2 linked regions of the Mus musculus genome follow. The protein of the gene in region 2 interacts with the protein of the main gene of each other region in a biochemical or structural test. Links are inferred from orthologs where the notes say so. Each region holds a gene or a part of one and is shown on either strand. Other genes may lie near its edges. The genes, in order: Ptpn18 and Pstpip1.

What was found.
Region 1: the proteins of Pstpip1 (region 2) and Ptpn18 form a complex in vitro, tested with the Homo sapiens proteins (2 studies listed by BioGRID and IntAct). The link is inferred for Mus musculus from reciprocal best matches to the Homo sapiens genes PSTPIP1 and PTPN18.

Annotation. Positions count from the first base shown.
Region 1 is NC_000067.6:34,468,020-34,473,693, reverse strand, and holds part of Ptpn18 (tyrosine-protein phosphatase non-receptor type 18), read right to left. Parts: intron 5,402-5,674; coding exon 5,333-5,401; intron 3,855-5,332; coding exon 3,792-3,854; intron 3,495-3,791; coding exon 3,352-3,494; intron 2,202-3,351; coding exon 2,135-2,201; intron 2,054-2,134; coding exon 1,976-2,053; intron 1,883-1,975; coding exon 1,793-1,882; intron 1,592-1,792; coding exon 1,503-1,591; intron 932-1,502; coding exon 726-931; intron 360-725; coding exon 285-359; intron 116-284; coding exon 48-115; 3' UTR 1-47. UniProt on the Homo sapiens protein: Differentially dephosphorylate autophosphorylated tyrosine kinases which are known to be overexpressed in tumor tissues.
Region 2 is NC_000075.6:56,122,578-56,129,482, reverse strand, and holds the end of Pstpip1 (proline-serine-threonine phosphatase-interacting protein 1), read right to left. Parts: intron 6,777-6,905; exon of another isoform or gene 6,725-6,776; coding exon 6,662-6,724; intron 6,222-6,661; coding exon 6,123-6,221; intron 5,736-6,122; coding exon 5,690-5,735; intron 4,890-5,689; coding exon 4,810-4,889; intron 4,360-4,809; coding exon 4,261-4,359; intron 3,557-4,260; coding exon 3,460-3,556; intron 2,902-3,459; coding exon 2,811-2,901; intron 1,999-2,810; coding exon 1,946-1,998; intron 1,757-1,945; coding exon 1,623-1,756; intron 895-1,622; coding exon 763-894; 3' UTR 593-762; downstream 1-592. UniProt on the Homo sapiens protein: Involved in regulation of the actin cytoskeleton. May regulate WAS actin-bundling activity. Bridges the interaction between ABL1 and PTPN18 leading to ABL1 dephosphorylation.

The sequences.
Region 1 (5,674 bases), on a different chromosome or scaffold from region 2:
GAGTCCAGCCACCACCGAGTGGCAGGCTATAACTGGCACAGCACTCGTTACACCCGTGTCCACTCTGCTGGAGGATCCCGGGGCCCTTTGGGCCTTCCGATGCGCAAGTTGAAGCCTAAGGGAAGAAGGGCTCCATGCAGAAGCTAAGGAGTGACAGGGTAACCTCCTCCAAACCCACACCGCTCCAGATCCAGGTATATGAAGGAGAACCTGAGTCCAGTGCCCCAGCCCGAACTCCCGAAGTCCTGGGGCTCTCCAAAGCTGCACCCTAGGCTCTGACTTACCTAGCCCTCCAGTCTGTGCTCCATCTGTTACTTCTTCGTAGGCATCAGGCCCGGAAGAGTTTTGGTCCGCAGGAACTGAGGGCAGGAGAACCCCTATGGGTCAGCTCAAGCTGCTTTTAAGAGTTCCAGGGACTCTAGAGCAGCATAGCTACCGATTTCCCTTCCCGAGGTAGCGGTAGGAGGCGTGTCCATGGGCGTGTCCAAGTTCGGAGGTCTGTCTTTGGGGCCTTGGGTTAGACAGCCCAGTCTCCCAATTGAGACCTGACCTGGGGCTCATTTTGGGGCTTGAACCCCGACGTTTAGTAGCCTAGGGGCGTGGCCATGCTGGATCTGGGGCTGACCTCCGAGCAGCGCTTAGACCCTCGGGAGCCTTAGGAGAGCGGGAAAGTTGCTAATAGGTACTTGTCCTCAGCTCCACACCCCCGGAGGGCCTCAACTCACCTCGGCGCAGTGCCGTTGTCCCCTGTGCGTCCTCCGTGTGTGCCACCGGTCGCTGGGCACGTGGAGCCACCTGGCTGTAGATCGGGGTGTCCGTGCTGGTGGGCGCCCGCGGCCCCGGCCCTGTGCCCGCCGAAGCGCCACGCTTCTGCACCACAGCGTAAGTGTCAGCCATGGGGAGGGTCGGGGGCGCAGGCACCGAGATGCTCCTGCAGCGGGCAACAAGCAGAGGAAGTGAAAGCGCTTAGCACAAGGGAGGGGGGCGGGGGGGGGGGAGCAAGCTCAGCCCAGGCTACGGGCTTCCTTCCTGCCTGCCCCAGTCTTCAGAGCAGGAAAGGAGGGAAGGGGCGGGCCACCTGAGGGCAGAAAGTAGAGGTTCCGTGTCCCTAGAATCCCCACAGCAGGAGGGACAGGGCCAGATTGGCAAGTGGGACTAGGGAGGACGCATGTGGTAGAGTGTGTGAGACCCCAACCCTCCTACAATGAGACAGAGACAGGTGAGTCCCCAGAAGCTCTGATGTACACAGTGAGACTGTTTCTCAAAACACGTGGAAGGTAAGGACTCACATACTCTTTCTCTCTCACACACACACACACACACAGAGAGAGAGAGAGAGAGAGAGAGAGAGAGAGGGAGAGAGAGAGAGAGAGAGAGAGAGAGAGAGAGATTGAAATTCTTTAAAAATGTACTTGCCTAATTAATTACCTTCTGGAAGACCAAGGGAAAAGCTAACCCAGACTGTAGAGGTTGATTTTCCAGGGACAGAGTGAGCCCAGTACCTGAGAACCCCTCCTGGTGGCCGGGATGTGGCAGGCAGGGCTGAGGAGGTCCTGAGGGAGAAGGCTTCCTTGCAGATTGGAGCGCAGTTCTGCAGGGAAGCAGGCAGGGTCGGTCCTGAGGCCATAGCCCTGCTGCAGGTCACTGTGGGTGCCTAGGTGAGCTTAGGGAACAGCCTGGGGAAGGAGCTCTGAGGAGGCAAAGGTGCCTTTCACAGTAAGTCGGTTGCTGTTCCCAAGAAGGGTATAGGTGTTGATGGCTGGCAGAAAGGGTGAAATTGGGGGCTCTGTACCTCCTTGAGGTTCTGGTAGTGGGGGCTGGTGTCCTGGAGAGTGCGGGAGAATAGCTGAGCCACTGTGTGGTACAGGAACCTGTACTGCTCCTGTTGGGGTGAGTGGTCATTGAGAAGGGGAGATTGGGAAGCTAAGCAAACCTCCCTCGTCCTTAGGAACAGGAAGACGGGGCAAGCACATACCTCTGTCTGCACTGCTGCAGGCCGCTGTTTCCGCATCTCCAGGACCACTTGGAAGAGACTGAAGTTGGGAGGGATTGTCTGGGATAGAGAGGGGAAGTGTGACCAGACCCTGGTAGGCAGACATGGGACATACTGCACACAGAGCAGAGGACGTCATACCTGGGTCAGCAGCAACTGCCTCACATAGTCAACAGCGCACAGGACACCTGTTCGTCCGCAGCCAGCACTGACAATCGTGAATCAGAGCAGACACCATCATAGCCTACCCACAATGCCCCTTTCCCCATTCTGTTCCTCCTCCTTTTCCCACAGGTCTTGTGCTAGGTTGCCCAGGCTAGCCTCTGACTTCAGCTTCCTAAGTGCTGGGATGTCAGGACTGCCTAACTGTACAGACACCACAACCCCTTCTGAGCTGACCTGAAGGAGATCAGTACCTCTTAAATTGCAGGATCCCTAGATTAAAACTTTAAATAAAACCTTTTGGGGTTTTTTGTACATTAGTATGCACCCATTTTGTGTGTGTGTGTGTGTGTGTGTGTTGACAGTGTGGAGACCAAAGGTCAATATTAAATTTAAGAAAGGATCTCTTACTAAACAGGCTGCTCACAGATTTGCTTGCCTGACTGACTGGCAACCCCTCAATGGGTTCACTTGTCTCTACCCAGCACCCAGCACTGGGGTTACAGGGGGCAAGCCACCTGCCCTGGGTTTGACTGGGTAATGAAGAGCTGAACTCAAGAATGTGTACAACAAGGACTTTGCCCACTGAGGCACTTCTTCGGCACAGGAAAACCTTTTTTATTCACTTAGACTTGTGAACAATCAGTTCTATGCTTACTCTCCAGCAGGCAGTCTATTCCAGCTAGCAATTCCAGCTCATTGTATCATGAACATGTGGCCAGAGGCTTCTCAAGAAATACCACTGGAAAAGGAAGGCTGGGGCTGGCGAGATGGCTCAGCGGTTAACTGACTGCTCTTCCGAAGGTCATGAGTTCAAATCCCACAACCACATGGTGGCTCGCAACCATCCATAATGAGATCTGATGCCCTCTTCTGGGATATCCGAAGACAGCTACAGTGTACTTATGCTTGGGGCCAGAGCAAGTGGGGCAAGGAGGGTTTGGGCTAGAGCAAGAGGGGCAGAGAGAGAAGAAAAAGTGTCTGAAGACAGTTACAGTGTACTTACATATAATAAATAAATCTTTAATAAAAAGAAAGAACAAGAGAGGAAGAAAGAAAGAGGGAGGGAGGGAGGGAGGGAGGGAGGGAGGGAGGGAGGGAGGGCTGGCTCCTAGCCACAACTGTTCTCCCTTGCTTTTCTGTCTCATTCTCTCCCTTCTGCCTCACCAGATCCTCATAAAACAAATTTCCTAAACCTGCAGTGGACACAGAGGGGTCCAGGTCCAAGCCCTTGGAGGCAGCGGGCCTCCTCCACCATGGTGAGAATGTGATCAGAACTGCTGGGAACCCCGTGGTCTGGCCAGGACATATACTGTAGCTGGTGCACAGAGCGGAATTCCTGAGACGGGAACAGAGAGTGGAAAAAAGAAAAAAAGAAAAAAAACATGTTTATTGATCACCTACTATAGTTCTAAGCTTATTCCATTTAAATCCACCAGATAAGGAAGGAGACTAAGAGGATTTGCATAGCATGCACAAGGCTGTGGGCTCCACCCTCAGCACCATAGAGACAAGCAAGTCCATTGTGTGCTAACTGAGGGTGACAGGAACGGACTGGAATCATGAGTTTCCATTTACAGGAGAAGAGACAGCTCGTCCCATGCAAGAGTCCCTTCACCTTTTAACGTTTTGGTACCTTCTGGAATGTAACCTGGAGGGTCCTGAGAGTGATGTCTGCATTCAGTGTTGTCTCCTTTGTCTATGCGCCATGTGAGAAGGGGACAGAGGAAACAGAAGAGAAATAGAGATCTTAATAACACACTTCACATTTCTAGAAAGCAAAGGTTTGGTTTTGCTTTGGAGACAAGCCTTGCTGTAGAGCGCAGACTGGCCTCAAACCAGAGATCCTCTTCGGGATCCGCCTTTCATGTGCTGGGATGGCAGGCGTGCACTATCTTGCCTGATGAAAGTAAAGCATTTTTTTTAATATTTATTTATTTACTATATGTAAGTACACTGTAGCTGTCTTCAGACACTCCAGAAGAGAGCATCAGATTTCATTACGGGTGGTTGTGAACCACCATGTGGTTTCTGGGATTTGAACTCAGGACCTTTGGAAGAGCAGTCGGCACTCTTAACCGCTGAGCCATCTCACCAGCCCCAGTAAAGCATTCTTAATTGAAAATCAAACACTAAAAACATTTTTAAAACTCTTAGGCCTGCGGTGCCGTCTTGCATTCCCAGGATTCCTGGCTTAGCCAGTGGTTGAGACTGGAGACCTTGCTGGGCACGTCCTACAGGTCAGACTCTGGTGGACAAGCTTGTGTGTCTGATTCCCATTCCTCGGGAATTACATTTTATAAAAGTTTTATATTTATATTTTTATATTTATGTTTTATTATATTTTTGCTTCCTTTTTCATTCTTTTTTTTTTTTAAAGGTTTATTTATTTATTATATGTAAGTACACTGTAGCTGTCTTCAGACACTCCAGAAGAGGGCATCAGATCTCGTTATGGATGGTTGTGAGCCACCATGTGTGGTTGCTGGGATTTGAACTCCTGACCTTCGGAAGAGCAGTCGGGTGCTCTTACCCACTGAGCCATCTCACCAGCCCCCCTTTTTCATTCTTATTATGGGTTTTTTTTTAACCTCAAAAGAATTTTTTTAAATGGTTTCACAACCAATGATGATATATCCATTAGGTACTATGCTACTGTAAATGTAGCCATATATTTTTAATTCAAATAAATTTCTATACTGATGATATTTTTAAATTTTCTTTTGGCCCAAATTTCTCCCAATGCATTCAAGGAAGCTATTGTCAGAACTGGGAAAGAGGAATGAGTATACAAAACACACTAATCCTTTTACAGTGAGCATAAGAGAGTCCTATTGTTCTGCAACACAATGGTCTCCTTGCATTTGTTAATGGCCAAGTACCTGTATGTGGAGGGATTTCCTCCAATAAAGAACACTGTAAAACAGGAATTGCAGAAACGGGAACAGGTCCATTTTGGTTACCGCAGTAACTGTAATCATAGTTAACACTGCTAGGGCCAGGGAACCGCACGTACCCTACATGCATTCTGAGTTTTTCACTGTGTGAGTTATGAGAAAATGGTTCACCTTTCCAAGCCTAGCCAAGGCTTCTCACTCCCTATGTCTTCCTTGAGATCTCCCACACTACCCAAGGCCTGCAGAAGCCACCTCTGTTCCCAGCCCTGCTCCAACTTACCAGGGTGATGCAGAAAGGCCCAGCCTTTAGAGGCTCCTGCTCCCGGGCCCAGTAGCGTTCACACTTCCTCTGCAAAGTAAGGTGAGGAAGGCAAGGAGTGAATGGGGAAGTCACCTTCAGAGCCACTTGTGGAGGCCAGCTGCAGAGTATAACATAAATACTTGCACACAGCACAGAAGCTAGATTCTGATCTTGCTGGGGGAAGACAGTTCAGGATATCCTCCTATGGCCTGGCAATGTAACTAATCGCATGGACTACTATGTATCATAGACCCATGCCCTGCAGGGTGGTGCCTTGTCACTAAGCTGTAGGAACTAAGGAACCCAGTGATTCCACCATGC
Region 2 (6,905 bases):
CCCCCCTCTCTAGACCATACTTGCTCACAGTTTCACCTCTGGCTGCTGACATTTGCCTGGTACATGGTTAGGCCTCTATTGCTGGCTTCCAGGTGGGCAGGCAGGGAAGCCACGGGCCCACAGCTGGTTCCTGTGAGGTAGGCACAGACATGACGGGGTCGTGTCAAGGAGGAACACTGAGGGCTGTGTGCCGCCTCCAGAGCCACCAGCACTTTCTCGTCCCCAGCAGTCTTCTTATCCCCTATGTTCTTATGTATGCTCAGACATTTGCCTTCTGGCAAACGTGGCTGCTGCCGCCTCTCCACATCCTTCTGTGCCCCACTTCCCTGTCACAGGATGCCTCATCTCATTGTGGCCCTCCTGAGCCCCTCTCACTTGCATCTTCCTGGCTGTCCCAAGTATGAATGTAGCTCTGGCAGCCTGGGAGCTTCGGGCACCTGGGTCGAGGCCTCTCCTCTGTCCCTGGCTGAGACTGGGCCTGACTGCTCCTGTTAGTGGCAGAGCTCTGTTCTCCCAGCCTCTGTATACTCTGGCTCTCTGGATCGAGGCCCTGGACACTGGGTAAGAGAAAAGGACCCCAGCAAAGGAAGAATGTGCCGCTTTACTCCTTCTGGGAGACATTTATTGAGAGTAGCCAGCACCCAGCCCATTCCCAGCACCACCGGGCTTGGTTCTGGCCCCGTGAGGCCTGGGCGGTGATGGAAAGAAACAGTCCTGACCTCACAGTCAGGGCGGAGGTATGTGGAGACTGCTAGCCTTTCCTCAGAGCTTCTCCAAGTACGACCCAGGGACAAAGCCACGTTGTCCGTTCCGCTCCACAGTCCACCAGCCATCCTCCCCTTCCAGGATGACCGCCAGGATGTCTCCCGCGGAAATGTCCAGCTCATCAGAATTCTGGGCAAGAAATGGCAAGTGTGTGAGATGGGAGGAGCCACCAGGACGGGGTGCTGTGCTCTGCGGCCCCCACTTTGGCAGTGCATGTTTGTCTCCCAGGGCAAGCAGTCTGCTGAGTCATGCTAAGGCCTCCAGAGTGGTTCCTTTGCAGATAGACAGGCTGTGGGGTTTCCCCAAAGGCACTTGGCCTCCTAACAAGCTCAGGTTGTCATGGAGACCTCCCATCCTGGACTTCTCTCACTGCTCCAACCACTGCAGCTCCTCAGAAGTGCTTGTCACAACGTAAGGGCAAGCTCTAGACAAATCACACAGCAATCTACTGCTACCTGAGTACCCTGTTACTGTCCAGGTCTGTACCCCTGAATGTGACCTCAGTACAGCCCCATCTAGCTTGCCTACATGTCTGCCTATATGTGTGGGTGTATTAGCCCAAGTTCAGGGCCTGCCTTCCAGGTCTACCCCTACCCCCTTAAGCCCAGGGCTTGTGTTGGACTTCAGTCCATCTCAAGCACAGATGCTCTGTGGGTGCCCTGCCCACCTTTCTCCAAGGATGTCAGGAAATAGTTCCAGGGCAGCTCAAGGACTCATTTTTGGTCATTGTGCACAAGGCCTGATCTATCCACAGCAGATCCTGGTCCAGCAGATGTCCACTGAACTATTCCAGTCTCTGGTGCTATGTAAGTGCTCACGCCCCAGGCGTGCTCCCAGGCACAAGGGGAAGCCCTCACCTGTGCGGTGTAGTCGTAGAGTGCCCGGTAGTCCTGGGCTGATGAGTTAAGGTTTCCCTGGGTCGCCTGCACTTCGATGGATGCGTAGACCAACTCATTCCGCTCAGGGGTGGGAGTCAGAGTCTCTGTGGAAGCTGAGAGCAGGATGAGGCCCGAATCTGAGACTGCTGGGGTGGGGCTTAATCCTACACCATCCACACTCTTGGACAGAATACCTTTTCCCTCTGGGACATTAGTGTTCCATCAATGCTATACAGGAGTCCTCTCATCCCCACTGGTGGGAGACATGTCCCCTCTCCCATTAGCCCTTCCCCCTTATTTACCAGCAGGAGCAGAAGGTGTGGTCTTGGGACTTCCATGTAGCAGCCCAGAGAACCTGGTGGTAGGGAGGAGAGAAGAGGGGTAGGCCTTGCCTTACCTCACTGGAAGCAAAGGGGATAATTGGGAATTCTCAGCGCTTCAGGACCTCTGCCAACCTGCTACCACCACAGGCCTCCATGGCAGCAGGCCTCCCCACAGCCATTCCTGATAGTCCCTTCGTTCTCAGCATCCTCTCCTCCCATGGTCACTCTCCTGGTCATCTCCGCACCTGCAGCCAGCAGGGCCCCATCCCCACCAGATCCCCAGCCCCAGGCTCTGTGGGGAGGAGGAAGCTACCTTTAAAGTTCAGCTCCCACATATCTTGCCAGGCCCAGCCAGTGTGGGCCAAGCAAGTCGTCTTTTCCTTGGCTGCGCAATGACTAGGCCAGGTCACCCACAGGACACAGAACTAGGGCCTTGGCACCTGACTACAGCCAGGCCAGGGAGATGGCCCTCTAAAAGCCTGGTGAATCCAAATGTCTGGGCTTTGGGCCATTCATAAGCCACCTGGAAGTCACCCGTGCTACCTCTCAGTTAAGACACTACCCTGCCTCTCAGTAGGGCCAGACAGACAAGGAAGCCAGAGTGGGCACTTGCCCGGGACTCTCCGCATAGCCGTTGGTGAATAACTGGAGTGTGAGTAATTAGTACTTGGATGCTCTTGGACCCGGGGCGCTCTGACGGTAGTTTGATCCTGGACTATCTCAATGGGATGGCCAGCTTCTGAACAGGGTACCAGACCCACAGGAGCTGTTCAGCCATGAGATGTGGAAGTCAGGCTGACCCCGCGGCTGTGTCCTGATCATATGCAGTTCATCGGGTGCTCACCTCTTTATCACACCACAGGAGGGCTGGACGCTAGGGCTGCCAATCAGTGGGGTCACCTCCCTGTCATAGTAGTTCTGATAAGGCACCGGAGCTGCAGAGAGCAAATGCATGAGGCCAAGAGCAGCGAGGACCTCGTTCAGAGGACCACCTGCCTCTGCCACCCCATGCAGGGATTAAAGGCATGGAACACTGTGCCTGGCTTTTTTTTTTTTTAAAGATTTTGTTTTAGCCGGGCGTGGTGGCGCACGCCTTTAATCCCAGCACTCGGGAGGCAGAGGCAGGCGGATTTCTGAGTTCGAGGCCAGCTTGGTCTACAAAGTGAGTGCCAGGACAGCCAGGGCTACACACAGAGAAACCCTGTCTCGAAAAACCAAAAAAAAAAAAAAAAAAAAAAAAAAAGATTTTGTTTTATTAATTTTAATTATGTATAGATGTGTGTGTATTCATGTGGAAGCCAGAGGTGTTAGGTGCCTGGTGTGGGTGCTGGGAACTGAATGGGTTCTCCAGAAGAGTAGAACTACCCTGTGCCCCAGCCTGGGCCTGGTCTACCTCCATCCAGTAGGGAAGTGTGAACCACCCGAGCCTGGCCTGGTGTAGAGCTAGCCAGACCTGGCTGTGGACACTAAGCTGCCCTCAGGCAGGGCCTTACCTGGGGGCTCTCTGCCAGTGCTCTTGGACTGGATGAAGCCATTGATGTCACCTTCCACATCACAGCCCTCAAGGGTCAGCCGCACTTCCTCATAGAGCTGGGGGTAGGGGTGAGCAAAGGCTGTGTTCAGGCTTCGCCCCAATGTCAGCCTGACTCCCAGCCTTACTATAGTCCTGCCACTGACTCTGAGCCAGAGGGACTGAGGAGAGGCCTCGGCTCACTCCTGTCCTCCGAGGTCCACACTTTAACCTGCCTTCAGATGAAGAAACACAGGAAAGTGACCTGCTATCTTGGTAAAGCTGGGCTTTGGGCATGGGAATATCTAGAGACCACACTTTCTGCTGACACGAGAAAGCCACCAGGATCAACTAGCCAAGGGCAGGAGGGGTCAGAGGTGCCCCTAAAGCACCCAGAACCAGAGCTCCTGCTGTAGGTGGTAGCCCCCCCTAACCTGGGGTATGATGCACTATGGCCATCCCTGAGTATTGGATTTTATAAGGCGAGAGAGGGAGGAAGAAGTACCCTGGCCATCCCTGAGAGAGGGAGGGGGGTGAGGGAGGGGTGTAAGAGAGCCTGGAGCAAAGCCCCTCCACCCCCAGCAAGTCTCTGCTGTGTTGGGGAGAATAGATGGACACAGCCCTGAAGGGACGTAGGAGGAAAAGGCAGAGGCGGGGGACCAGAGAAGCGCGCTGTTCCCATGCTGGAGGCCAGGCCAGAGGCCATGTCAGACTGCTCTGTGTGAAGTGCAGAGGTGGGGGACACTGAGCTTGCCATGCTGCCCTCCCTCCCCTCAGCACACACCTCATCATCCTTGACACACTGCATGGAGAGCTGGTTACAGTGCACCCACAGGGCATTGCGGAGGATGGTGAGCCGGTCAAACTCCTGCAACTGGAAGGCCTAGTGAGGAGAAAAGGGAGAGAACTAACTATGGGGCCAGGCCTGGCAGCCCACCACCACCGCTCAGCTAGGTGACCAGTGCAGAGCACCCTGCTGCAGCCAAGTCTAAAGCAAAGGCAGCCCAGAAGATCCCCACCCAGAGCGGCTGGAAGGAGGCTAGACTGTTAGGAATGCCTGTTTGCATCTCCATCGGTCCCTGTCCTAGAATGGAGGCTGGGGGAAGCTCGTGAAAGGTACAGGACTCTGCCCTGGTCTTGACCATCAGTAGGTCCCAGGGTGGAACAAAGGGATCCAGGGCATAAGGCCAGATAGTATGGGGAGAGACCCAGCAGGTGTCAAGTGGAATGAGGGAGTGTCTCCCCAGCCCCAGCTCCAGCCCCGTGCTCCCCCGCGCCCCGCCACAGGTAGGAGGAGCTTGTGGAGGAGCAGGCTGCTTGCTGGGCCACTTGCCTCACAGGTAGTCCGGTGCTCCTGCTCCCACTCGGTCCTCGCTCTCTCCAGTTGTTCGATATTTTGCCTGTACACTCTTTCTACAAACACAGGGGAGCCTTCGGCAGGCCTGGTAGCCTGGATCTCCTCTAACAGTTTCCAAGACAGTTCCGTCCTCTGTCCTTCACTCCTCCAGAGACCCACCCAGCACAACCTCCCCAAGTCCCGGGAGTCCCCTCCCCGGGGGCCTGGCTAGCTGTTGGTCACCACACACAGCCACCGCACCGCCCTTCCCACTTCCCCACTATGCTGTGAGCTCCAGGGGCTGGAGCAGAACTCAATATGCAGAGGTGTTACTCCACTTTACAGATGGTAAACTGAGACTCAAGGAGGGCACCTCTATAAGCTGTTGTGCTACAAGATAGCAAGCTGAAGTTATGACTTGGTCTTGTGGCACCTGCTGAGGGAGGAGCAGATGTTGGAGAGGTGGAACAGAGGGAAGAAGGATGCCATCCTGGGATGGGAGGATGGGGGGGGTGGCCAAATGCTGGCATCAGGCAAAGGACAGGAGCCAGGAAGGCTGAGTGTGAGCGTTTGTCATTTTGAGCTAGATGAAGGGATGTGGCCCTGTGGATCTGAGGCTCTGAAACCCAGTGGCTTAGATTCAAATGCTGTCAGCACCACTTAGCAGCTGTGTGACATTGGGTAGCTTATCTACGTGCTTTGGGTGCCCGGTTCCTTATGTTATGGCTGTGTGCAGTGGCTAAGGAGGAATGGTCTCTGGAGAGCACGCCTGGAGAGGCACACAGTGGACAGTGCTAGCAGGTGGGACAGCACCGTCTGGAGGAAGAGGACCGGCTAGGCTGCCAGACAGTCTGGGAAGGTGGCCAGGGCTACGTACCTGCCTCTGTGGCTGACTCCTTGCACTGCTTGGCTTTGTTCTGGCTCTGAGGAGACAGGAGAGGGACACTGAGTCCAAGCCCAGGAATCCTAGCCTCAGAGCTACTCAGAAGTGACTGGCACCCTCCCTGGCCACCATCCGGAATCAGAGTATGGATGGGTGAATTCTATCATTCACCAGCAGCCTTACTGCTGAGGGGCTCAGGCCGGTTCCACAAGGGGGAAATAAAAGCAGAAGCCTGCAGACCACCAGGAAACACAGAGAATGTAGATGCTATGTGTCCTCTTCTGCATCGCTGCGCAGAACCTGGACTATGGTCAGCCTGGATTCAACTCACCCACAGCCCTCTGCCCTCTCAGTCTCAGCTCTGGTCTGTAACAGGTACTATGTTTAAGGGCCTCCCCTCCCACCCTCACCCCCACACTATACACACCTTTTCTACTTGCTTCTGGTGGCCATTGGCACTCACACGCTCGAAGGCCTGCTCAGCATCATCTGCATCCCTGCACTTCTGGTCATATGCCTTCTTGGACTGAAGGTGTGGAGAGGCGTGTCTGCAGGGCTGCATGCCCCAGTGTGGGAGGCTCCCTAAGCCCAGACTCCCTTCCCGGGGGTGGGGACTTTGGTAGAATTGGCATCACTCCCAGGGACAGAGATGCAGAGGCTGAAGCACGTTCCCATGGAGACTCGACTCGGCCCTGTCTTCTATACTGCCCTGCCCTCTCATGTGTCCCATATCCCTGCTACTCTGGGCTCCTCAGATGACTGGATCACTCATGGACTCCTGCGTGTGGGACTGTCCCTCTGTTCTTCAGGCAAGGCACTGAGGGGCTTGTGATGATAAATAGGTCCTGGGCCTCGAGCACAGCCCCCAACAGGCCGATACATATAATGAAGAAAGGTCTGAGGCAAGCCTGTCCCAGAAGTCCAACCCAGGACTCTCAGAGGGACTTCCAAGGCCCTCCCGTTTACCTCCATGGTCTTCTTGTAGAGCGACAACTTGCTCTTCTGGACACGGTCCATGATGGCCTCATACTGCAGGAGACATGAGGCTCTGAGCTGGGGGCTCTGGCCTCAAAACGCTTCCCTAGGCCAAGAGGATGGGTTGTCCTTGTCCCTGGGACATGACACCCTCTGAGCTCATTCATAAATGCGTGTGTGTCTGTGTTGTGTGTGTGTCTGTGTCCACCCTCTTCTAGAGACACCTCCTTCAAAA